3 linked regions of the Pelodiscus sinensis genome follow. The protein of the gene in region 2 interacts with the protein of the main gene of each other region in a pairwise test. Links are inferred from orthologs where the notes say so. Each region holds a gene or a part of one and is shown on either strand. Other genes may lie near its edges. The genes, in order: SKAP1, EEIG1 and SH3GL1.

What was found.
Region 1: the proteins of EEIG1 (region 2) and SKAP1 interact in binary tests that used the Homo sapiens proteins (3 or more experiments, as listed by UniProt). The two-hybrid records come from large-scale screens. The link is inferred for Pelodiscus sinensis from reciprocal best matches to the Homo sapiens genes EEIG1 and SKAP1.
Region 3: the proteins of EEIG1 (region 2) and SH3GL1 interact in binary tests that used the Homo sapiens proteins (3 or more experiments, as listed by UniProt). The two-hybrid records come from large-scale screens. The link is inferred for Pelodiscus sinensis from reciprocal best matches to the Homo sapiens genes EEIG1 and SH3GL1.

The regions. Positions count from the first base shown.
Region 1 is NC_134739.1:14,029,253-14,036,751, forward strand, and holds the start of SKAP1 (src kinase-associated phosphoprotein 1), read right to left. Parts: upstream 3,465-7,499; 5' UTR 3,308-3,464; coding exon 3,256-3,307; intron 44-3,255; exon of another isoform or gene 29-43; coding exon of another isoform or gene 1-28. UniProt on the Homo sapiens protein: Positively regulates T-cell receptor signaling by enhancing the MAP kinase pathway. Required for optimal conjugation between T-cells and antigen-presenting cells by promoting the clustering of integrin ITGAL on the surface of T-cells.
Region 2 is NC_134732.1:10,485,261-10,493,396, reverse strand, and holds the start of EEIG1 (early estrogen-induced gene 1 protein), read right to left. Parts: upstream 3,178-8,136; 5' UTR 3,019-3,177; intron 2,172-3,018; 5' UTR 1,648-2,171; coding exon 1,502-1,647; intron 1-1,501. UniProt on the Homo sapiens protein: Key component of TNFSF11/RANKL- and TNF-induced osteoclastogenesis pathways, thereby mediates bone resorption in pathological bone loss conditions.
Region 3 is NC_134729.1:22,494,268-22,502,261, forward strand, and holds the start of SH3GL1 (endophilin-A2), read right to left. Parts: upstream 3,303-7,994; 5' UTR 3,103-3,302; exon of another isoform or gene 3,072-3,102; intron 3,045-3,071; 5' UTR 2,792-3,044; coding exon 2,747-2,791; intron 1-2,746. UniProt on the Homo sapiens protein: Implicated in endocytosis. May recruit other proteins to membranes with high curvature.

The sequences.
Region 1 (7,499 bases), on a different chromosome or scaffold from region 2:
CTCCCCCGCCCTTCCAGCGCTGGAGCATCACAAATCAGCTGTTTGCGGCATTCCAACTCTGGGGAGAGAGGAGCATGAACCAGGCACTGTACACGCTCCTGAGGCGCTGAGGGGGAGGAAGTGTGGGGCTCCGGGGTCCCAGTGTGTGAGGGGTCTGCAGATGGAGGCTCTGCGGGCCACTGTCACTAACAAGCCATTCATTAGCCTGCCTGGGCACTCGTTAATGGATCTCAAAGTCACCGTATTATTGCAAAACCAATTACAAAAGCCAGCTCGATAAGGGAAGCTACAGAACTTCCTTTCATTTACAAGTTTGATTCCCGCAATGGAAGTCTGAACAAAGACACTGGCTGGATGGCCCGCTACATTCCACATCCTAATGACATAAAAAACCAAGCAAAGGGAACTGAAGGATGCTTGGTACCCGCTTTATCAGCTTCATTTAGCACTAATTGACAATGTCTTTCCCCATTTTTCTTCTTCTTTTTCCTCCGCTTCCTCCCTATCCCCTTTCTGTGCCTATTTATTTGAAAACTCGACCCCTTATACTCCATTCATCCGAAGAAGTGGGTTGTGCCCATGCAAACTCATGCTCCCATACACGGTGTTTGTTAGTCTCTAAGGTGCTGCAAGACTATTTGTTGTTTTTTAAGTTTTTCCCGTTACAGGCTAACACGGCTCTCCCTCTGAAACTATTCACTAGCTATGCTTATTGTGTTATCTAGAGCAGTGTTTTCCAACCAGTGGTAAGAGTACCTTCAGGGGTACTTGAGAGAAGTTGGGAGCGCAACTGAAATTTGGAGAAAACTGAATTTTTGTTTTAAGTTTGACAGCGTGTTATTATTTTTGTACTTTTTACACCCCGAAATTTTATCGCCTGCCCGGCTACGATTAAGTTCTTTAAATAAATGTGTTTCAATGGTAGAAAAAAAAATTATGTCTGAAAACTGTAGGTATCAGGGGTACTTTTTTTTTGAAAAAGGGATACTTTATAACAAAAGATTGAGAAACACTGCTCTATAGCACTGAGACATCTCTGAATAGGGTTGCAAGGTGCCCGGTATTGGCCCGGACAGTCTGGTAATTGCATCTTCTGTCCAGTAAAAAAACCAGAAAATACCAGATGTGTAAAATTTTCGGTATTTTCTGTTTGTGTCAGACTTTGGTCCCTGTTTTTTTTTTTTTTTTTTGCTCACCCAATTTGCATCCCACCATGTTTGGTATTTTTTGTGACACTATCTGGCAATCCTGTCCCTGAGCTATGCAGGAGCATAAAGGACCCAGTTTCACTGTCAGGAAGTGGACGACCCTGACAATACATTCTTGGTGTCTTATTCCCCATCTTCGTTTTCAATCAGCTCTCCTGATGCAGCACCGAAGCAGCGTGGCTGGAACCCCTCCTCGCGCCCAGGCCCCCCGCACAGCTTGGTAAGACGAGGCAAGTTTGATACCGAGGTATGTGACACGCAATTAATCTCCATTCACGGCCTGCTCTACTTGTCAGCAAACAAAGGCTCCGCTTTAGAAGGAGATCTGAAGACTTCAATTAAAAACAGTCAGCTAACAAGAAAATAATCTGCGTGCACGGGAGGCGGCAGGTGCAGAAATGAGTTGTTTACAAAAGTGTCAGGGCTGAACAGGAAAATGCTGCACATCAAAAATGCAAAGTGGGGGGTTGAACTTCACTGCAGCCCCATGATTAAAAATAAAGAACAGGAAATGCACATCTGTAGCAGGGGGGACGGGGACCACAAAGCATTTGAAAGTCAGCTTTGATGAGCCAGCTCTCCCCCTCTCTGTCTGTGTAGGTCTCAGTGCTGAAAGCTTCGCACACCCCAAAAGGGGAGAAAGGGAAACACCCCTAGTTACTGCTGGAATGGAGGGGTACAGAGCACCTCCCGTTTTGCTGGAAATGCACTGTCATCAGAGTGGCAGAAGAACCCAGGGACAGTGTCAAATTTACATACAGTAACTTTCCCTGTGTGTGGGTCTGTGACAGCACCACAGGGGAGAGAAACAGCCAAAAGGGATTGTTCAACCATACACAGGGGAACTGAGGAGCGGGTGTAAGATAGGAAACAACTCCTCCACACACGCAAAAAATCCTCCAAGGTCAAGTTAAGTGCTCAGGCATCAGAGTGCTGGGAATAAGAGGTTCTAGGCATAGCTGAGCTGGAAAGCAACATACATGCATCCCTGGTGCTGAGCAAGTCACCCCCAGATGCGGGAAATTTTCCCAGCGCCCAAGAGTACAGTATCAATAAGACAGGATCAATAAAATTTGTAAGGGTCTGCGAGGAACGAGCCGGCTCATGTTCATAGGGTGCTTTGAGATCACCAGACAGAACGGGCCGGTATTGTCACTGCTCAACCTCCTCGCTGCTTTTGAGACGAGGAGTTTGGTGAAGAAATGACGGGAAACGGGTTTAGAAACATCCACGCGCGCCAAGCGGCCGCAGTCATGCGCCGGAGACGGTCAGGGCTGCTCGCTGGATCCCCAGGTAGGCCTGTCAGTGGGGGGTTGAGCACAACCTGCCTTGCCAGCGGCAGAAGGGACAGCTAGTGCCATGTCTAGTCTTCTGGAAGGGGGCCGCGTCCCTTCGAATTGTTACTGACGTGGGAATGGCGGCCAGCAGGCCGAACGTGCTTGGTGCACCCTCGCGCTGCAAAGCAGGAGATGCCGTCACATCGTGACCGGCCAAAGTCGCAGCCTCGCTTGGTCTGCGGGATGCTTTGAAGCCCCCCCACATCAGAACAGCCATACCCCGCCAACGCCCTTCCTTACAAAGCTAGACATCTCCCCCCCCCCCCACTACACAGCAGTAACACCCACCTTCCAGGTGGCATTTTGCGGCCCAGTAGAGCTCAAATGACTTTTCAGAGGTGGTCAGGGTCACGAGCCTCGTGTTAGAAAGGGGAAACTGAGGCACCGGTCAGTGACGTGACTCGCCCAAGGTCACCCGGATGCTCGGTGGCAGGGGTAGGAACGGAACTCGCATCCGGGTGCAAGCCCCTAGGCCCCCTTCCTGGCACAGAATCATTCCAAGGAGTGCCAAAATAACCCCACAAGCACCAAGCCCAGCACCCAGTGCCGGAAGGGGGAGAGGCCTACGCAGCGAAGGGGCCTGGATCCCCCCCAGAAGGAACAGCCCCTGCTCCGGGTTGTGGGGCACGCAGACCTTCTCCTCCTGGAGCCGCTTAAAACGCAGCCTCAGCCCACCCCCCCGGGAGCAGAGACAGGGCGCCGGGGGTTACCTTCAAGGAGCTGCTGGACCGCCTCAGGGATGGGGGCTGTGGGCATCTGCATTGGGAAGCCAGACGGGACGTGCCCCCAGCGAGAGCCTCCAGTGGCGGCGGCTGCTGCTGTCCCTGCGGGCGAGAGGCTGCCTGCTCCAGACAGAGAGGAAGCCAGAAGGGTGGGGCCTGCTCTGCAGAGGGAGAGGCTCCTGCAGGTGTTTCCTGTTTCACCTACCCCAGGATAGCAGCCCTCAGACACCTGCCGGAGGCCCCAGCCCTCCCTGGGCCAGGGCCCTGGAAAAGCAGGTGCCCCCGGGCGATTGGCCCGGCTGCTTCCTGCACCTGCCCCCCTGTGGCCGCCGAACGCTGGGCAGGGAGGGGGCGCTCTGCCCCTTCACCTCCTGCATCTGCAGGGCTCGCCGGGGCAGGGAGTTGAGTTCTGCCCCACCGCCGGGCACCGGCCTCCGTCCCGGCCTCCTGCAGAGGGAGGCAGCTGAATCCTGCCTTGCGGCCAGGGACTTGGCTAGGCCTGGGGCTTGCCCCAAGAGAGAACCAGATTTCACCCACCAAGTGTCCCTTGCAGGCCTGTTGGTGGGGGAGAGGGGCAAAGGGGATAGTTGCCCCGGGCCCCGGAGATTCAAAGGCTCTAGGCAGCTATCAGAGCTGGCTGGGAGGTGGGGGGGACAGCGTGGCACGTGCTGGGAAGCACTGACAGCTGGCTGCCCCAGTCCTGCCCTTTCCACCCCTTCTGGGAGTGAGGAGCCCCCCCCACGCACACACCCCTGGCCCAGGGGCCCTGCAAGTCTGTCGGTCCCCCGATGGGTTGTGAACTCCTCGAGCACCAGAACCCTCTTACCATGGAGTCAGAGACTGTCTTCTTGGGCCGGCCGGGCTATCTTACCCCCCAGGCAAGGTCGCCTTTGTGATCGATGGTCCCTTAGACCAGGAGTGGCCCCCGGGCCACCGCCCCTCCCCCCCGGGAACCCTCAGGCACAAAGCAGTCCCGCGCCGCTTTAAGCAGCTGGCTGCTCCCTGCGGCTCTCTGCTCTGAGTGCCTGGGAGAGGGGAGGCTTCGCCTACTGCCCCCGCCCCAGCACGATCTCTCACAATCCCCCTGCCTGCCCCTGTTTACGGGGTTAACCGGTTAAACAGAACGTGTAACCAGGGAACAGATTAAATGAGATTTTACATCCCTGTCCCATGCCCCTCTCCCAGGCCAGAATCCTCTCCTGCACCTCCATGAGCCTGCACCCCATTTGCCTGCCCCAGATCATAACCCCCTCCTTCACCCAGACCCCCCCTCTGGCCCCACACCCTCTCCAGCAATATGCAGATTATTCCCAGGTAGGGCTGGCAACTTTCTAATTGCAGAAAACTGAGCATCCTTTACCCTGTGCCTGCTCCACCCCCTGCCTCAAGCTTCTGCCTCGTCTCTGAGTCCTGCCCCCACTCACTCCTCCCTCCCCCACCCGTTGCTCGCTCCCCCCTCGTCTCTCACGCTCATTTTCACTGGGCTGGGGCTGGATGTTGAGGTGCGAGACAGTGGGAGGTTCTGGCTTGGGGGGCAGGCTCCAGGATGGGGACAGAAAATGAGGGGTGCAGGATGCAAAAGGGGGCCATGCTGGGAGGGTGGGGCTGAGGGGTTCTGGGAGGGGGCTCCAGCCTGGGGCAGGGGGTTGTGGTGGGGTACAGGCTCTGGGCTGGGAGTGCATGCTCTGGATGCAGCCAGAAAAAAGGGGTTTGGGGTGCAGGAGGGGGCTCTGGGCTGAGGGGTGGGGCCAAGGGATCCAGAATGTGGGAGGGGGCTCCCGCCTGAAACAGGGGGTTGGGCTATAGGAGGGGGTACAGGCTTTGGGCTGGAGATGCTCTGGGGTGGGGTCAGTAAAGAGGGGTTTTGGGCCCAGGCAGGAGCTGGAGCAATGGATTGGGTGCAGGAGGGGATGAGGGGTGCACGCTCCAGCAACACTTACTTCAGGTGGCTCCCAGGAAGCAGCAGGAGTTCCCTGTCCCCAGCTGCAGGGGCCGCCACTGCAGCTCCTATTGGTTGCAGTTCCTGGCCAATGGGAGCTGTGGATCTGGTGTGTGGAATGGGGACAGGGCTCAGGACCCCCGGAGCCAGCCCTGAGCCAGAGGGACTTGCTGGCCTCCTCGCGGGGGCTGCATTGGCAGCCCACTCACCCCACAGCCCCCAGTCAGACAGACATCTAGCCAGCCCCATACTAAGCCAACTCTAGATGTGTTAACTAGGACAAGGAGCTGAGAGTTCAGTGCCGCAGTGACAGCTTGTGAACACTGCCCCCACCCCCGTGAGAGTTGGCTGTAGTGTCACATGACTAGCTTTCTATGGCCTTTAGGGCTGATGACACAGCTGGGAACCCCCAGTGCGACTGACGGGGGGGGGGGGAAGGAGCAAAGGGAGCAGCTGCCCAGGGGCCCGGCAATTTAAAAGAGCTGCAGGTGCGGCAACGGCTGGAGTCCTTGCCCCTTTAAATCACCATCAGAGCCTCAGATGGTGTAGGCCGGGCAATGCTGAAGGTCTGGGTGGGGAAGGCTAACCCTCAGCCACGCCCCTTCTGGGGGTCCAGAGATCCCCCTCGCGCCCCCCACCTTGCCCAGGGGCTGGCAATTCTATTGGTATCCCTGAGAACTCCTTCCTCGTGCTAGGTAGCTTCACCCCCCAGAGTTAAGTGGCATAGGGGTAACAATTGCACCTGGTTGTTTTGGCTCCCTCTTGCAGATCACAGATGCGGCTAAAACCTTTTGTACCCGCGCGGGGCTCTGCTTATTAGCGCTAATTCCTAACCCCGTTCGTCTCGCGCTAGTCGCTGGTTTCACGAGAGCATCACTCAGGCAAGCCAGAGCTGTTTCAGCTCTGCATTGGTCAGCGGCCTGTGAACTTCGGCCCAAGTTCTGCCCGCGGCGCTGTGAGTATTTATTAGTATGTCCCCCCGATAATAGGCGTCTCCATGAGCTCGCCACTGTTACTCAGCTACCTTTTTACTGCTGCCCCGGGACTTTGGCCACGTCTTCTCCTGACACAGGAAATAGCCTTAAAGGTGGCAACGAAGTTAACCGTTTGAGCCGCGTTCATCTGCATTACGCGGGCGCCAGCCTCCCGAAGTGCAACTGGGTGTGCCCCTGCCAGCAATGAATGTAGCCACGTGATCACAGGGTTGGAAAGGCAAAAACCTGGAAGAGAAGAGAAGAGAAGAGAAGAGAAGAGAAGAGAAGAGAAGAGGTGGAGGGCAAATATACAGGGAACGGGGTAAATAGTTTCCAGTTCCCTGACTGAACTGGCCACGTAATCAAGGCAGACAGGCACCTGGGGCCAATTAAGAACTTGCCTGAAGCAGCCAGCTAATCAGGGCACCTGCAGCCTATTAAGGCCTGCTGGGGCTAGGTTAAAAGGCTTCCCCTCAGGCACGGCAGGGGGAGGAGAAAAGCCAGGGGCACAGAGGAAGAGGGGTGGTGCCGGAGAGCTGAGGTCTGCGAGGAGGGACGTGCGCTGTGCAGGAGCAGAAGGGACTCGCTCAGGTACCAGGGAGAAGGTCCCGTGGGGAGCATCAGGGGAAGTGAACAAGGGTGCAGGACTGAAACGCTGCCTGCTGCCACAGCCTTGGGGTCACTGGGCTGGAGCCTGGACTACTGGGTGGGCCTGGGTTCCCCACAACCCTTCCCACACCACTAGAGAGTCTGCCCCAGAGGCGGAGACCAGGACTTCAGAGGGGCTTCACCCCTATGCTTGGACTTGCCTATGAAGAGGATAGCTCGGAAGGCTGCGACCCTCGGCCTCTAGCAAAGGACCAGAGGCTTTGTGGAGGGTCACAGTGCGCCTCTGAGGCAAAGGATAACTCCCGAGAAGTGCCGGACCCGTGGGGCACGGTCAGAGCTTTGCCACAGGGTGTATTGCCTCAGAGGAACAGCAGCCTAGTGGTTAGGGTGATGGCTTCAGAGGGGCAAACTGGCCTGGGGTTGTAACAGAGATTCGCCAAAGTTACTCCATTTTTCAGGTCTCCACCTAGCACCCGGTGCCGGCGGGGGACGGTTGTGAGGATGACTGTACCATAGATGTGAGAGGCTCTGAGGTTCTGGCAATGGGAGGTGCCCGTTAAGCACCCACCGTACGTGAATGGTCACGTGCCCGTGCCGTGACTGGCGGCGATGTGCTGCTTTCTGAGGCCACGTACACAATAAGAGGGAAAGGATGTGGTGTGTGTAAGGGTGGCAGAACTCAGATAAAGGAAGAACCTAAGATGCCTGGC
Region 2 (8,136 bases):
ATGAGCAATTAAGCCAAATCAGTAAAATATGCATTTGGTTTAAATTACAAATGATTTCTCTGCAGGCACCTGAATACACTGAGGAAACTCCTGAACCATGAACAGCCAAAGAAAACCCCACAGTGCCAACCCACACAAGGCTGGCAGTGGCATCAAATTGGCACTCCTGCGACCTGCTTCTAGGACAACACGAAGAAGCTGGAAATCCAGCGAGACCAAGTCCACCAGGCAGTTTCCAAATGAATGAACTGATCTAGGAAGTAAAAGGGTTAAATTCCTTCCCTGCTCTCACAGTTCAAATTCCTTAGACCAGTTACTTCTACCAAACACATGGAAGAAAATTGCAAGGAAAAGTTATTTTGACAGTCTTTTTCCTAGGAGGAATTCACTTAGGGTCTGCTTTTCCAGAGATACCATAGCTCTCACAACCTTCATCAGGATTAGAGGAGCTCAGCACTTCTTCAAAATCAGGCCTGGGCACTCTGCTGCAGGGTTGCTCAGACACACATACACAGGTTTGCAAAATAGAAAAACCAGTAAAAACCCTCTCTCCTGGAGAAGAGCAACTCCCACCCTTCTCAGCACGTATAGCACTTTTGGAGACTCAGTTTTCCCTGTAACCAAGCAGTTCTAACAGCCCAATATGTTGTTAGTTACTCTAGGGTTTATATAAAATCTGATTTTGGAAACCACTAAAGGCTGCCCTAAACATTCAGAAGCAGCAAGACAGGAAGTGATAATCAAGGTGAATAGTTGGCAACAAAACAGATTTTGATTAGCAAGAGTGGGGACATAGAACCCCCAAGCAGGCAGAGAGACGCTAAGCCAACCCACAATGGGGAAGGGGACTTAATAATGAATTCTACAAGAGTGGTCCAAATGTTACAAATTACACTATTGCTGCAGTGCTTGGGTCCGTAAAAAGTTATGGCAAACAGGTGGATCAACAGCATTTATTCGAGAAGATTAATCCATGGTTTTGAAACTAACAACTTTAGCTACAGGGCTGCTGTTTTCCTTTGCAAGGCGATTTGCAATGCAAAGCAAGCTATTTCAACCCTTACCAAAGACAGTAACGCAGAAGAAGAAAAAAGTTGATTGGTTTAGATGCAATTTTCTACTGAGTTAAAGCAAAAGTACAGTTTGGTTAGTTCTTTCCTACATACTATGTGAGAGCTTCTCTCTTTTGGAGGGGGGAGAGATTTGTGATCAAAGTGTTCATCGAGAGACCCCAATATCTTTCAGAAACATCACCCCCAAATAGCTGAATTGAATTCAGTTCTTATCAAAGGCCACACACATACCTACCCAACAATAACCAGTCTGTGGGCTCTGCCAAGATAGGGAAAGAAGAGAAATGGCATGCAGCAGGATTATTAAAAATCACGTGGAAGGGGCAGGCAAGTGTTAGCAATATACTAAATAATTCAGTCCAACACAGTTAAACAGGGAAAGGAGGAGTATAAGGGTAGTGAGAAGAGAATTATACAGAACCTCTTACCTGGAAGACAAACTAACAAAGTCCCCTCCATCCAGCAGCCTTATTTTGCAGAACAGAACACCATTCACAAAGGGGACAGCAGTCAGCTCCTCCAGGGTGAAACTGGTCTGAAATTTAAACTTCTTTTTCTTCATCAGGAAAGCCATGGGCAGGCTCTGAGAAAAGTCCAGGAACTCAGAACAAGATCAGAGAGGAGCTTCTCAAAATGCACACAGAGAAAAAGAGGCACAGGCAGCCCTTTCAGGAGTGGAAAATCAAGCGTGTAAATTTCTGTTCAATTGCAATGAAGGCCGGCATCAAATGCACAATCCTCTTCTCTCTCTGGTGGTCTGATTTGGCTGTGAAATCATTGCCCTGGAAGGCTTCAGGTGCTGAGGAAGAGGACAGAGTAAACTTCTCAAACATCTCCAGGGAGGAAAAGGAGGGAGAAAAATCCAAGCTCCAGACCCGCAGGAGCTCCCCTGACTGCAGTTCTTGTGTTTAAAGGCTGTGGTGCTCTGTGTCCATCAGGCCCCTTTCGGAAACCATCTCTGATGAGAAGTCATCCTGAACTAGTCTGTCGGAAGAAATCCTAGGTCTACAGATCACACAGTCAAGGTTTCCTGGTTTCAGTCTCCTCCCCTTGTGTGACAACTTTACCGCTCTCTGTGGCTACTGCTTCAACAGGTGGCTAATGTCAAGTAGGGAGGGAAACAAGTAAATAAATTAGTTTCAGTCAGTCCTGGGCACCTCTGCCAAAATCTATTTAGATGGGTAATTTCTGTCCCACCTCACTGTTGTCTAAAGACAAGGAATCCAGAGATTCCTGCTTCAGAGATTCCTCCACCCCCCTCCCTTTTCTGCCTACTGCCATCTTCACTGCCCCTGGATTGCACTCTATTTTTCAATAAGTGTTTAATACTGATCTGTCCTAGAATGATTTTTAGCCATAGATCTCAAAGCAATTTAAGGAAAGCAAGTCTAACAGTTAATCCACTGAAAAATATTGGAGAAATGGGGGGAAGGAGTCAGAGTTCTTTGGGAAGTTTCAACGTTTTGGCCCCCTCCATCCCCCCCTAGAAATTTGCAATTTCCCTTATCTCAGCCCCTCCCCCAACTAGCTCTAAGCGTCCCCCTGGCTCAGGGGGGATATCGGAGGGAGTCTTCACCTAAGCAAAGTTCCTGGGGTCGGACCCGCTGTCTCCCCTGTGCCGATTTAACCCAAGTGGGAGCAGAGGCAGCAGACATGGGGGGGGCTGCAAGCCGCTTGGGGTCTGACGCCAGAGCGGTGCCACGAGGGCTGGGGGGCCCTGTCCCGAGTCTCGCTAAAGGCCTGCGGGGATCCGCTCACACATGCGATGAGCTGAGCCCGGTCTCTGCCCGCCTCCGCCGTGCAACCGGTCTCCTCGCCAGGGGCCCGGATCCAGCCGCAGCCCCGCCCGCCCGGGACTGCCCCAGCCCGGTTCCGCTCGCGCCTCTGCACCGTGAGCGCAGCGCCCCGGGCAGGCGAACGGCGCGACCCCCGGGACCTCGCTCACCTCCTGCCGCTCCCCGCAGAGCGGCCGCCCGCACCGCAGCCCCTGCGAACGCTCCTACGCTACGTGCGCCGGCCGCGCTCACGGCGCAGAGTGGAGCCGTTCCCAGCGGGCCCGCCACGCTTCGAGAATACGACAGCCTAGACAACATTCCCCCCCCCCTCCCACAGGGCCGGGAGGAGAGCGCCGTCCTCTGATTGGGCAGCAGCGCAAGGGGCGGGGAGAAGGACTCGTAGCTCTAGATTCGGATTGGCCGCCACCGAAAGACTGGGGGAGGGGCGAGATATGGGCTTGATGGTTGAGGGAGGTAACTGTCAGTCTAGGTAAAACCCATCCCTCCCCCTTCCTCCTAATTGAGGTGGGAGAAAAGGGGCGGGGAAAAGAGGAGATAGACGGGGGGAGGGGCAGGGAAAGGGGGATAAAAGGAGGATGAACGGGGGGGGGAACCTGATTGACAGGTAGTGGGGGCGGGACAGGACAGGACCGTGCCGGAAATAGAGCAGCGTCACCCTCCAGCAGGCTGCCCCCGCCTCGCCAGCGCGGGATTGCGTCGCGCCCTGTGCCGGGCTGATCGCTTGCCCGGGGGGTGGGGACCTGCGGGGCCCTCGTGCCGCATTTTCTCGCTTTTCTCTGCAGCCCCGAGAGCCAGAAAGTTCCTTTCATTTCTGCAGGGCCGCTGAGCAGTTCAGCCCATCACGTGACTTCAGGCGCTGCTGCCGAACTCCCTGATTTCACCTAAACACCGTGGAGCGGGAGCGGGCAAACGTTCGGCCTGAGGGCCGGTCTGGGCGGGGGCGCTGCTGGGGGCAGGGCTGGTAACAATTCACTGATAAACCCGGGCGTGCTGGTTAATCCCTGCCACTATACCCTGCCCCCGCCCCCCTTCTGTATCAGAGGCAGTGGGGGGGGGGGGGGGCAGGAGCTAGTGCAGTTGGCTCCCCATGAGCACCAGATCCCATGGAGCTGCCTCCCCCCCCCCCCACCCCAACGCTGCTGCCTCTGATAGAGGGAGGGTTGCCAGATGGTTTCAACAAAAATACCAGACACACTTGACACCACAATCTACATTACATTTTATTTAGAAAATACCGGACATTTATATTTTCTCAGTTTCTTTCCTGAACAGAAATCTCAAATACTGGGCTGTTCAGTTCAAAACTGGACACCTGGCAACCCTCAACAGAGAATGAGCAGCACAAAGGGTGAAGCGGGTAGGTGGAGCCGGTTCATGTGGGAAGCGACTTTCAAGCTGGCTCCCCACAGATATCACATTCCGCAGAGCCACCTCCCCCACCCCAACACACAGATTGTGTCTAAACTGGCCAGTTTTTCCAGAAAATCAGCCGCTTTTCCGGAAAAACTTGCCAGCTGTCTACACTGGCCACTTGAATTTCTGCAAAAGCACTGACGATCTCATGTAAGTGTCAGTGTTTTTGCGGAAATACTATGCTGCTCCCGTTCGGGCAAAAGTCTTTTTCTGAAAAACTTTTGGGCAAAACGGCCAGTGTAGACAGCAGAGATTTGTTTTCCACAAAAAAGCCCCGATCGAGAAAATGGTGATTGGGGCTTTTTTGCGGAAAAGTGCGTCTAGATCGGCCACGGACGCTTTTCCGCAAAAAGTGCTTTTGCGGAAAAGTGTCCTGCCAATCTAGACACGCTTTTCCGAAAATGCTTTTAATGGAAAACTTTTCCGTTAAAAGCATTTCTGGAAAATCATGCCAGTCTAGATGTAGCCACACTGTTACCTCTCTGTCAGAGGCAGCAGAGTGGAAGGAGGTAGGCAGGAGTTGATGTGTGTGAGGAGCGGACTTTTAAGTTGGCTCTCCATGCATGCCAGCTCCATAGAGCTGCCTGACCCCCTTCTTGCTGCCTCCGGCAGAGGTAGTGGGGGGGGGGGACGACGACAGGTGAGACCTGCTGCTTTGGGTGACATTGGCTTAAAAGCCAGCTCCCCACCAGCACCAGCTTCATGAAGCCACCTCCCTTCCCCAGCGCTGCTCCCTATGTGGAGTGGCGGAGCATCCCCTGCGACAGGCAGCAGCGCAGATGGCAGGGTGCTCCCTGGGAGTAGGGCCAGAGTGCACTGGCTACCGCCCCCACTCCTGGGGACTATTGAATAATCAATATCTAACATCACTAGCGAGCCATGAGTGCTCACAAAACTGCGGGCTGGAGTGTTGGAAGGGATGAGGGCTCCTGTTAGGGGTGTAGGCTCAGTCAGAGGCACTGAAAGCCTCCATAAGCACCTGGGCAAGGTGTGTGTGGAGAAGCAGGGGGCTGGCTCCACATTTCCGGAAGAGTCAGGGTCTCAGGTAGAAGGGGTGCGCAGGGTAGTCAGCCCTCATCACCGTCCAGAGTGCACCACACTGGCCCCCAGGTAGCTCTCAGTGCCACCTGGAACAAGGCCTTAGCACTGCCTAGAGCTCACAGCACTGCCCAGAGGGAAGCTTGAGGCACAGAATAAAAGGTTTGACAGGCTGGAGATGGCCTGCAAGCTGTAGTTTGCCCACTCCTGCCTGAGAGGATTTGGGTGTGGATCTTTAAAAAAGCCATCAAATAACAGGAGGCTTGTGATAACTTACTGGTGATACCAGTAACACTTGTATTTAGCCCTTCCCTAGAACTTCATATCTAGCCTCAAGCCTTTAATTGACACAGCTCTCTGATCCCATAGATTATTATCAGTCTGGATTCAGGAAGGTCCTTAAGCACATTCCTAGCTTTAAGCATGGAAATAAGCTATATTGCTATTTATTTCTTGTATCATGGTAATGCCCATGTGACCTGGTCATTGCCAAGGGTCCCACTGTGCTAAGATCAGTACAAACACAGAACGACTGCATCTAGACTGGCAAGTTTTTCCGCCAGCTGTCTACACTGGCTGCTTGAATTTCCGCAAGAACACTGACTTCCTACTGTCTGAAATCAGTGCTTCTTGCGGAAATACTATGCTGCTCCCATTTGGGCAAAAGTCCCTTTTGCGCAAAGCTTTTGTGCAAAAGGGCCAGTATAGACAGCTCAGATTTGTTTTGTGCAAAAAAGCCCCAATCGCGAAAATGGCGATCGGGGCTTTTTTGCACAAAAGCGCGTCTAGATTGGCACGGACGCTTTTCCGCAAAAAGTGCTTTTGCAGAAAAGCGTCCGTGCCAATCTAGACGCTCTTTTCCGCAAATGCTTTTAACTGAAAACTTTTCCGTTAAAAGCATTTCTGGAAAATCATGCCAGTCTAGATGTAGCCAACAAAGAGGGGCCCAATCCCAAACTACTTGCAATCATCGTTGGGACTTATGGACTTGATGGTAGGGATTGCTTAAGGGCCTTCTAGAATTAGGGCTGTTACCCATATTGCAGAGAGAGAAACTGGGGCCCACAGAAGGGAAGTGACCTGCCCAGTCTCATATAGCAAGTCTGTCAGAGACAGGATGAAAACCCAGGAGTCCTGGCTCCCATTGCCAATTTCCCACTCCTCCCATTTAACATCTAGAATCACTGCCTTTATTCACTACTGCAGACTATTACAAGAACTATTACATTATTTCTGCCTAGTATGAAACCTTTTTGCAGTGACAGAAAAAGCACATGGAAACTTCACGTCTGATTAGGATACTCTGATATCTTCAAGTCTTATTAGGAGCAACACTTTGCCATGCTGATTCTTGCTCACATGCTCAGGCTTAAAGTGCATGTGACCAAATTCAGGGTGAGGAGGAATATCTACATAGCCTTTCCACCTCCTATTCCTTAATAGAAATACTGTGGTGAAGAGTCAAATCTGCTGGATATTTTAAATCTGCCAGGCTGTGAAGGGTATGGGGGTCCCTGTAGAATTTTGGAAGCATTTCAAGATCACCTCTCCTTCTGCAAACTTTCTCTATGATCCATTTTCAGAGGCATGGTGTACCCACTTCTGTCTCTAGAGAAATGATTAATTGTCCCGTTAGTAGCACACTGGGGATATCTATTGTGATTTGCTTTAATAAATAACTCCTTTAAGGACTTCTCTCCAGGGCTTATAGCAAAAGGACTGGATGTTAAAATGTACAGAGATTTTAAGCCCTGCTGTTCTCACGAATATTTACTCTACAGCCTTGTCAGAAACATCTCTTGAAAACCTCAATGTTTGCTTTATAATTAATTGAATAATGTGCCTGATGTTAAAAATAAATTTACTTGGAAAAATGCCCAGAGAATTGCTGAACAGTGTATAATATAACAACAGTAGTTGGATTCACAGGAATAGAGATATGTCTTTCTAACAAAGGAAGTGTCAGGAAACTGGGATTAAATTCGTGGGACAGAGATTCTTTATTATTCTGAAACTCCATCTAGGTATTTCTGTATTTTTACTGCACATTTGAGTCTTGATGAATTAACATCTTTAAAGGTCTCTTTGATGAGAGAAGATGTAATTGACTAGTTAGCTCTAGGGTCATGAAGATATCATCTATTATATACTTGAGAAAGTTCATCTGTTTATTTGTCTGTTTGTACAAGAACTCTTCCTAAATGGTAAGAAGTAGGACCACCAAATTCTGTGTACAGCTGCCTCTTCTCATAAGTTAAAAGGAAGGTCAGGGTTTGGTTGTGCCAAAAAAAATGGACTGTGCCTGGAATGGCATTGCTTCTCATAAAACCATACAGAAAAGAGACAGAACCATAAAACCATAGAGAAAAGGCATGACCTCCCCATCCAGGATTGCCCCAGCCCCGAGCCTCCCACCTCCCAGGCTATATCTACATTATGGTATCCCGGAAAAAATGTGCTGCCTCCAGGAAATGCTTCTGCTCTTCCGCTTTTTTTGCAAAAGAGCAGATGCTCTCTTTTGGAAACCCTGTCTTCCTCCTCCCACGAGCAAGAAGAGCTCTTCCAAAAGAGGAGGCTTTTCTGAAATTTGGCCCAGTGTAGATGGGCCAAATTTTGGAAAAGCCTTTTCTGAAAATTTGCGTACCTTTTTCCGATAGATCATTGTAGTGTAGACATAGCCCCAGGCACCCTTTAGGGCAGAGGGGCTGAAGCTCCCCTCCCAGATTTATATGGGGACACTGCTGGCTGTTCTCCTTCATCAGGAATCAAGAGGAAAGTGCACAGTTTGCTGCATTTCTCACTCTGGCTGGGAAGCA
Region 3 (7,994 bases), on a different chromosome or scaffold from region 2:
GTTAGCAGAAGCTAGGAGAACAAGGGAGAGACCAGTGTGTGAATTTCATGAGAAGCAGGGAATTAATCCCAAGCTTCCCTTAAATTTATTTAGAGAATTTGACTCCTATCACTGATTTCTGGGTAGGGTCCCTTTCTGATGAAAGCATGAACACACACACTTTGAACTCAGGATCACAGCTTTTACTTGTCCCATCTAGGGAGTTTAATAACTATTTCGGTAATAGGTCATTAAAAATGTGTACACTGGACAGATTTTCCTCCTGTAATGTCAAGGCTTCCATTTGCTCTCTCTCGCTCGCTCTCTCTCAGATTTCATCACATTCACATGCCACAAAATCTCTTCTGCTTCATGATACCAACTACTATCAAGGAAGAGGGAGCTTCCTGAGGTTATCTTGCAGCTTGCTGCTGCTCTTTACTCAACCCCAGGTATAACAAGGGGCTTGCTATTCCTAGCTACAACTGCACCTTCTAGGCCAGAATTTCCCACTTGGTACCTTTCACAGTCTTCCCTCTCCAATGTGTTTTTCCCTCCCATCTTTTCAGATTTGTGACTTTTTTTAAAAATTGTAATTCAGCATGCAGAGAATTACGACACATTTTGTAATTATGCCTTTTAGAGTTTTCTGCTCCAATAACCTTAAGTTGTGCTTGCTGACCAGAAAGCTACTACAGTTCATTCACAATTAACTGTCCATTACAAAACAGTTCAAGACAATTGAAAATTATCACCGGCTACTTGTAATACACCTTTGAAAAGTGCACTTACAGCAAGGAAATATACAGAAGCCCTAGTAGGCCATCACCCTAGAACACACACACCTCTCTGCTTACTGGCCCAAGTGGAAGACTGCTTTTTCTGAGCTAGCATTTCCACTAAGCAATACGTGACACATCTGAGTTTTAGAAGTGTATATATGGTAGGAATTAAGAGGACACTTCATGTAACAAGACCTAACTTCCTCATTATCTTCCTGAATTCAGAACAGATAGTAATGGGGATGGTATAAAAACCTAAAGAGCACAGAGTAACCTAAGAAATAGATACCTTTGCTATCTTATTGCTTTATTTGTGGATTTAATCTGCAATTTAAAGAGGATCTATGTGTGTCATCTTATATATGTCAAGAAAAGAACTAGACACATACTCTGTCTTCTTAGTGTTGTATTTCTTGTCTCTTTTTGCTGATGGGGAGGAACTCAAGGACACCAATACTGTAGAATGTGGCAATGAACAAGTTTCATCCACCATTCCTCCCCCCTTGAAAACAATGAAACACTACAGCATTCCTCTTACAGTTGCGTGGCAAATGCAACTATGTCCTTATTTCCTTCCACACACAGATCTCTGTGATGATTTAATGACAACTGAATTTGCAGCAAGTCACTAATTTGATGGAGCTCATCTTTTTTTAAAACAAAAGCCATTTAATTTCTGAGTCAGACTTCTGGATCCCATGGTGATTTTTCCCCCCCATTTTTTCCCTTCTCTGTACTTCCAGAACAAATGAATTCCTAGCAAAGAGACAAGACAGATGGAAGTTACAAGGAGCAGTGGATATAAGTCAAGTAAGAATTGAAGGGGGAAGAAGAAATTGATACAAGAATAATAAGCAGCCATCTGTTTACCTGCTGCTTCCCTGTGCACATCTTTGTTTACAAAGAGAACACTACAGTGAGCCTGCATCATTTTCACCGAAATGCAAAATAGACCTCATTACTCAAAAAGTAACTCAGTATGCACCAGAAAGGCTAGATCTGTCGTGTGAAAAGTAGAGACATTCAGCACCGGCAGACTTAAGGCATTAGCCTAGATATTTTCCCAGAAAATGATACCCTTTATAGTCAGTTGGCAGTGACACAGCCAATCTGAAGCTTTTAATTTAGAAATATCTCCCTTTGCTGTAACAAACGCCTCCACCACAGCTGCAATTTTGAGCCATCTTTCTTTCCACATCAACCCATTCTCACCAGCCTTAAATATAAATGGAGGTAAAACAATGCCATGTCAAATCATTTGCAGACGGAGTCAACGCGGAAGGAAGGAAGGATCTACTTCAAGCAGGGATCAGCACTTTATGGACACGCATACACGGAGACAACTGCAGAAAAATCTGAATAGAGAGGTCGGGAATTAAAGTTAGGGCAATCATATATCCCAATTTGGCTGGTACAGTTCCGTTTTTTAAGCCCTGTCCTGGATTGTGCGTTAAAAAAAAAAAAGGTGCACTTGTCACATTTACTCTTGCTAACTTGATCAGTGGCCAGGAGCAAACAGGACAAAAAAAAAGTGAGGTGGGGGGAGGAGGAATGTGTGTGTGGGGGGGGGAAGGGGTAGAGGGGATAGCAGAGATGTGGATGGGGAGGGTGGGAGACAAAGTTCCAGCAACAGCCTTGTGGGGTGAGAGTTCAGGTGGGCAACTTGGGAGGTGCTCTGTTTTCCCTTTGGGATAGAGGATCACCCTAATGACAGAGCACTGTTTCCCCGCCATCAGCATGAGTGCAAATGTCCAACGGGGGAGACAGAGGGGCAATGATAAAGGCGGCTGCTGAGGAGCCACTGCGGGCCTGCCAACCCCTGAGCACGGAGCCATGGCAATAGCCGCCCCGCTCTGGGATCAGAAAGAGTCTGAGCGCCGAGATCGCTGAGACTCACGCGTGGCCAACCTTTGCCCCACAAGCCAAGGGCTCCTCAGCTGGGTGCTCGCGCGGAGTGTGTGTGTGTGTGGGGGGGGGGAGCTCACCTGGCTCGCTTTGTAGAACTGCTTCTTCAGCCCCGCCACAGACATGCCGCCTCCTCTCCCAGCCCGGGGGCCGGGCGCGGATCAGCCCTGCACCGACCGACACTCGGGCAGCCCGAGCCCACGGGGGGGGGGGGGGGGAGAGGGAGGGGACCCAGGGACGGACAGAGCAGACCCCGGGGGGGGGGGGGGGGACAGACAGACCTGAGCCCGGGACTGACAGACGGACCCGAGCCTGAGGGGAGCGGACAGACAGACGGACCCGAGCCTGAGGGGAGCGGACAGACAGACGGACCCGAGCCTGAGGGGAGCGGACAGACAGACGGGCCCGAACCCAGGACAGACAGACAGACCCGAGCCTGAGGGGAGCGGACAGACAGACGGACCCGAGCCCGAACCCGAACCCAGGACAGACAGACAGACCCGAGCCCGCCACCGCGGCCCGGCTCCACAGACAGACGGACGGACACGGACCGACTCCCCGCGCGGCGGCGCCGCCTCCCCCGCCCGCTGCTCTCCGGACGTTACATGGCGCCGGAAGCCGGCCCGCCCCTCAGCGAGACGCCCCGCCCCCTTCACCTTGCCCCACCCCCACCGCGCCAGGAATCACTCCGCCCCCTGCCGGCCCGGGGGAGCAAGAGCCGCCCTTGGGCTCAGCCGCCACCATAGGGATGGCCGCGTGACGCTTGGAAAGAGTGTCCCTTCCGGTTGCACCATAGAAAAGTTCAGCCGCGGCCAGAGAGTCACCCTGCAGGTGATGTGCTACTACAAGGCCCCCTGCGGGGAGGAGTACCATAGAGAGACAAAGTGCAGGACTATGTAGCACTTTAAAGACTAACAAGATGGTTTATTAGGTGATGAGCTTTCGTGGGCCAGACCCACTTCCTCAGATCAAATAGAGGAAGAAAATAGTCACAACCATATATACCAAAGGATACAATTTAAAAAAAAGTGAGAGACAGACACACACACACACATAGAGAGACAGACACACACACACACACAGACCCCCCCCCCCAAAAAACCCACAGGACTGGTTGGGTCGGTGGGGTGTTACGCACACTCCTGAGTACACATAGTGATAGAAATGTAGCCGTGTTAGTCTGGTGTAGCTGAAACAAAATACAGGACTATGTAGCACTTTAAAGACTAACAAGATGGTTTATTAGGTGATGAGCTTTCGTGGGCCAGACCCACTTCCTCAGATCAAATAATGGAAGAAAATAGTCACAACCATATATATTTTCTTCCATTATTTGATCTGAGGAAGTGGGTCTGGCCCACAAAAGCTCATCATCTAATAAACTATCTTGTTAGTCTTTAAAGTGCTACATAGTCCTGTATTTTGTTTCTGAGTACACATGTGATGGTGAAATGTATCAGTATCGCTATTATAAAAAACGGCCGTCTTGCAGCACCTTAAAGATTAACAAAACACGTAGCTGGTATCATGAGTGTTCGTGGGGACAACTCATTTCTGCAGATGAATGAGAAAATTAATGGTGATAACACCTTTGGAATCTTGGCAGTAGTGAAAAGTATAGCCATCAGACTTGCCATGGTGAAAACTATCGTAGCGATAAATAGTGGTGATAAGAGAGATCAAAAAGTATAGCTATTAACAATGGAAATTATATTAATGCTGTGGCTTAGTAGTGAATATAATAGTGATAAAGCTTCAGAGGGTAGTCAAGTTAGCCTGTAATTTAGCTCATCATACACCCAACCCCCCTGCCCTGAGCCCCTCATACACCCCAACCCAAACTCCTGCACCCCCACATCCACAAGCCTGTGGCTTGCTCAGCACCCTAACCCTCTACCTGACCCCAACACTCTCCAGCCTGGAGCTCCCTCCCTGAGCCAGCATCCCCTTCTCCTCCTCCTCTTGCATCCAAATTGCCTCCCAGAGCTTGCACCTCTCACGCCTTCCCACAACCAAATCACTCCTTCCCACCCCAGAGCCCGCACCTCCTGTCTCAAGCCAGTGAGAGTGAGTAAGGGCCAGGGACGGCAAATGATGGAGAGGAGGGGAATGGAGAGGGCAGGGCCCCAAGGATGGGGTGGAGTCTTGGGGAAGGGATGGGATAGATCTTGGCTTGCCCTGACATTTAAAAAGTGATCTTGGATGTAAAAAGGTTGGAAACCACTGCTCCGTGGGAAAGAATTAATGGACAAATGGACAAATCAGATATCCAAAAAGTTAACACACAGAAATCTGTTGGGGAACATTTTAACTTGCCTGGGCACTCATTAATGGGTCATAGAATCATAGAATCCTAGGTTGGAAGAGACCTCAGGAGGTCATCAAGTCCAGCCTCCTACCCGAAGCAGGAACAACCCCAACTAAATCATCCAGCCAGGGCTTTGTCAAGTGGAGACTGAAAAACCTCCAGGGATGGAGATTCCACCCCTTCCCTAAGTAACCCATCCCAGTGCTTCACCATCCTCCTAGTCACAGTGAAATAATTTTTCCTAATATCCAACCTAGACCTCCCCCACTTTAGATCCACTTGACTTTGGATCTCAAAGTCACCAAACTGGTTTGGGCCAATTCTGCAAGTCAAATACACAGGGAAGCCTTGGAACTTAACTTCATTCACATAGAATAGTCTAGCAGCCCCTTAAAGTCTAACAGAACATGTAGATGGTATCATGAGCTTTTGTGGGGACAACCCACTTCCTAAGATGAAGTGGGTTGTATGAAGTCAGTGGGGCTGCTCACAATGCATGAGGTTAAGCAATTCCATAAATCTTTTCAGGATGGTAGGGATGGAGGCTACTTGTTTATGGGACTGAGCTCTGAGAATGAAGGGTCTCATGTTCAAAGACTCTGATTTGATACCATCTTTAACAGTGATAGGCAGGCAACCTACACTTGTCAAGCAAAATGCAAGACAATGTAGCACTTTAAAGACTAACAAGATGGTTTATTAGATGATGAGCTTTCGTGGGCCAGACCCACTTCCTCAGATTACACTTGTCAGTGGGTTGTAATCTACCAGGATAGTGTAGTTTTGCTCAGTGTGCTTGCGTACCTACAATTTGTGGGCTGTGCCGATTGAGCCGTAGCAGCACTTTGATTGGATGCAGAGGGAGCACATGGCTCTTACAGTTAGACTATGTCTACACTGCAGGCTTCTTGCGCAAGAGCGTGTTCACACTGCCATGTGCTTTTGCGCAAGAGCATCCATGGTAGGGTTACCAGATGAGCTAAAAAAAATACCAGACACACTTGATCTCAGATGGGGACGGGGGACTGGCCAGGAGGCGGGTGGGGCTGGCCGGAATGGGGGAGGGAGCAGCCGGTGGGAAGCAGGGCTGGCTAGGAGGAGAGTGGGTCGGGGGCAGCGGGGCTGGCCAGGGGAGATTGAGTGGGGGAATTGGCAGGCGGGAAGCAGGGCTGGCCGGGGGATTTGAGGTGTCGTCGGGGTTGTGGGGCTGATCGGGGGAGATCAGGAGGAGGAGAGGAGAATTGGCTGCAGGAAGTAGGGCTGGCAGGGGCAGCGGGGCTGGCTAGGCAAGATTGGGAGAAGTGGGGGAAAACTGGTTGACCAGGAGGGGTTGGGGAGCGAATCAGCCAGTGGAGAATGGGACTGACCCGGGCACATGCAGATCCCAGAGCGCTGCCTGTCCCGCGCATGGTCCCGGCGAAGCACAAGTGAGTCCGGGTGTGGCTCCAAAATGACTGGGACAGCGCTCAGGATTACGTACAGGGCTTCCCCTCCTCCCTAAAGCATCACACACAATCAGAGGCTCCCAGTGCCGATTGCGCCCTGCCTCCCGGCTTAACCTCATGCATTGTGAGCAGCCCCACTGACTTCATACAACCCACTTCATCTTAGGAAGTGGGTTGTCCCCACAAAAGCTCATGATACCATCTACATGTTCTGTTAGACTTTAAGGGGCTGCTAGACTATTCATTGTTTTTTTAAGTTTTTCCACTTACAGACTAACTCCGCTACCCCTCTGAAGCTTTTGACTTCATAGTCAGGACTCGATAAACTGCTGTTTCTACTTGCCCGTGGCGAGCAGATTTTAGCCAGTCGCTCCGTGCACCCCATTCACCAGCTTTGCGCACATGCGCAGTGCCAGTCAGGCGCATGCGCGGTGCGGGGCTGGCGAGTAGCTCTTGCCACAGTTTGTCGAGCCCTGTTCATAGTGATAGCCACAGATGGGACTACAGGCAGTCCCCGACTTACAAACAGGTTACGTTGCGAACACCTGGTTGTAACTCAATTTGATCGTAAGTCGGAAATACCCTTAAACGTGCTGTTCGAAAAACTTGACGTACATGGTTCTCAACTTGAAAATATTATAATGGGGTTAATGGGAGATGGGTTGTAAGTACGGATGGTTGGTTGTAAGTCGGTGTGTTTGTAAGTTGGGGAGTGGCTGTAGTCACATTAGTAAAGTAAAGCACGTGCATAAGTGTTTTCAAGGTTGCAGTTACTTAAAGTGACCAGTTTTACCAACACAATCACATTATTCCATATGATTTCCTGGTGTCCCAGGAAATTTCTTTGGGACACCAGACATGTTCTGGTTTTTCATGTTATAAATCAGAACTAGGGATGTAAAATCCCAGTGAATCAGTTAACTGATTAAGTGGGATACCGCTTTTGCCCCCCAGCCCCATGGGCAGTGCCCTCAGCAGCCTTGTGTGTGCAGGAGGGTGAGGGGGAAGGGTGGCTCCTGTTCTTGGCCCCCCTCCCCCTTTCCCCCGCCCCCCGCTGCTGTGTGAAGCTCCCAGCTGCCACTGCCAGCCCCTCCATGTGTGGGGGGGCCTGCAGAAGGAGCCAGCAGCTGTGCATGCAGAAGAGGGGTTTGGCCTCCCTCCCTGCCCCCCCTCCCTAAGTGGAAGGTCAGCTCCTAACTGCTGCAGAGCTAGAGAGGCCCTCTGCCTGCAGCAAGCCGCTGACAGAGGGGCTGCTCCGGGTTTACCTGTTCACATCCCTCATGAGAACATTAGGTTTGTTCAAGATTTACTCTGCAACATGGGTAGAATCATTTCTATCATCAGCACCAGCCCACAATCTGAAACAAACAAGCAATTCAGTGTCATTAACAGTGTTTGGCGTGGAAATTGAACAAGCATTCAGTGTCATTAACAGTGTTTGGTGTTGAAAATCAGAGCTATTCTTTTGATTGCAATGAATGCAGATGATAAGTGTTCAATGTTTCATAATAAAATGCATTCCTAACACTGAATTCCTGGGGAAAAAAATCCACCACTCCAAAAAATATGCCCACT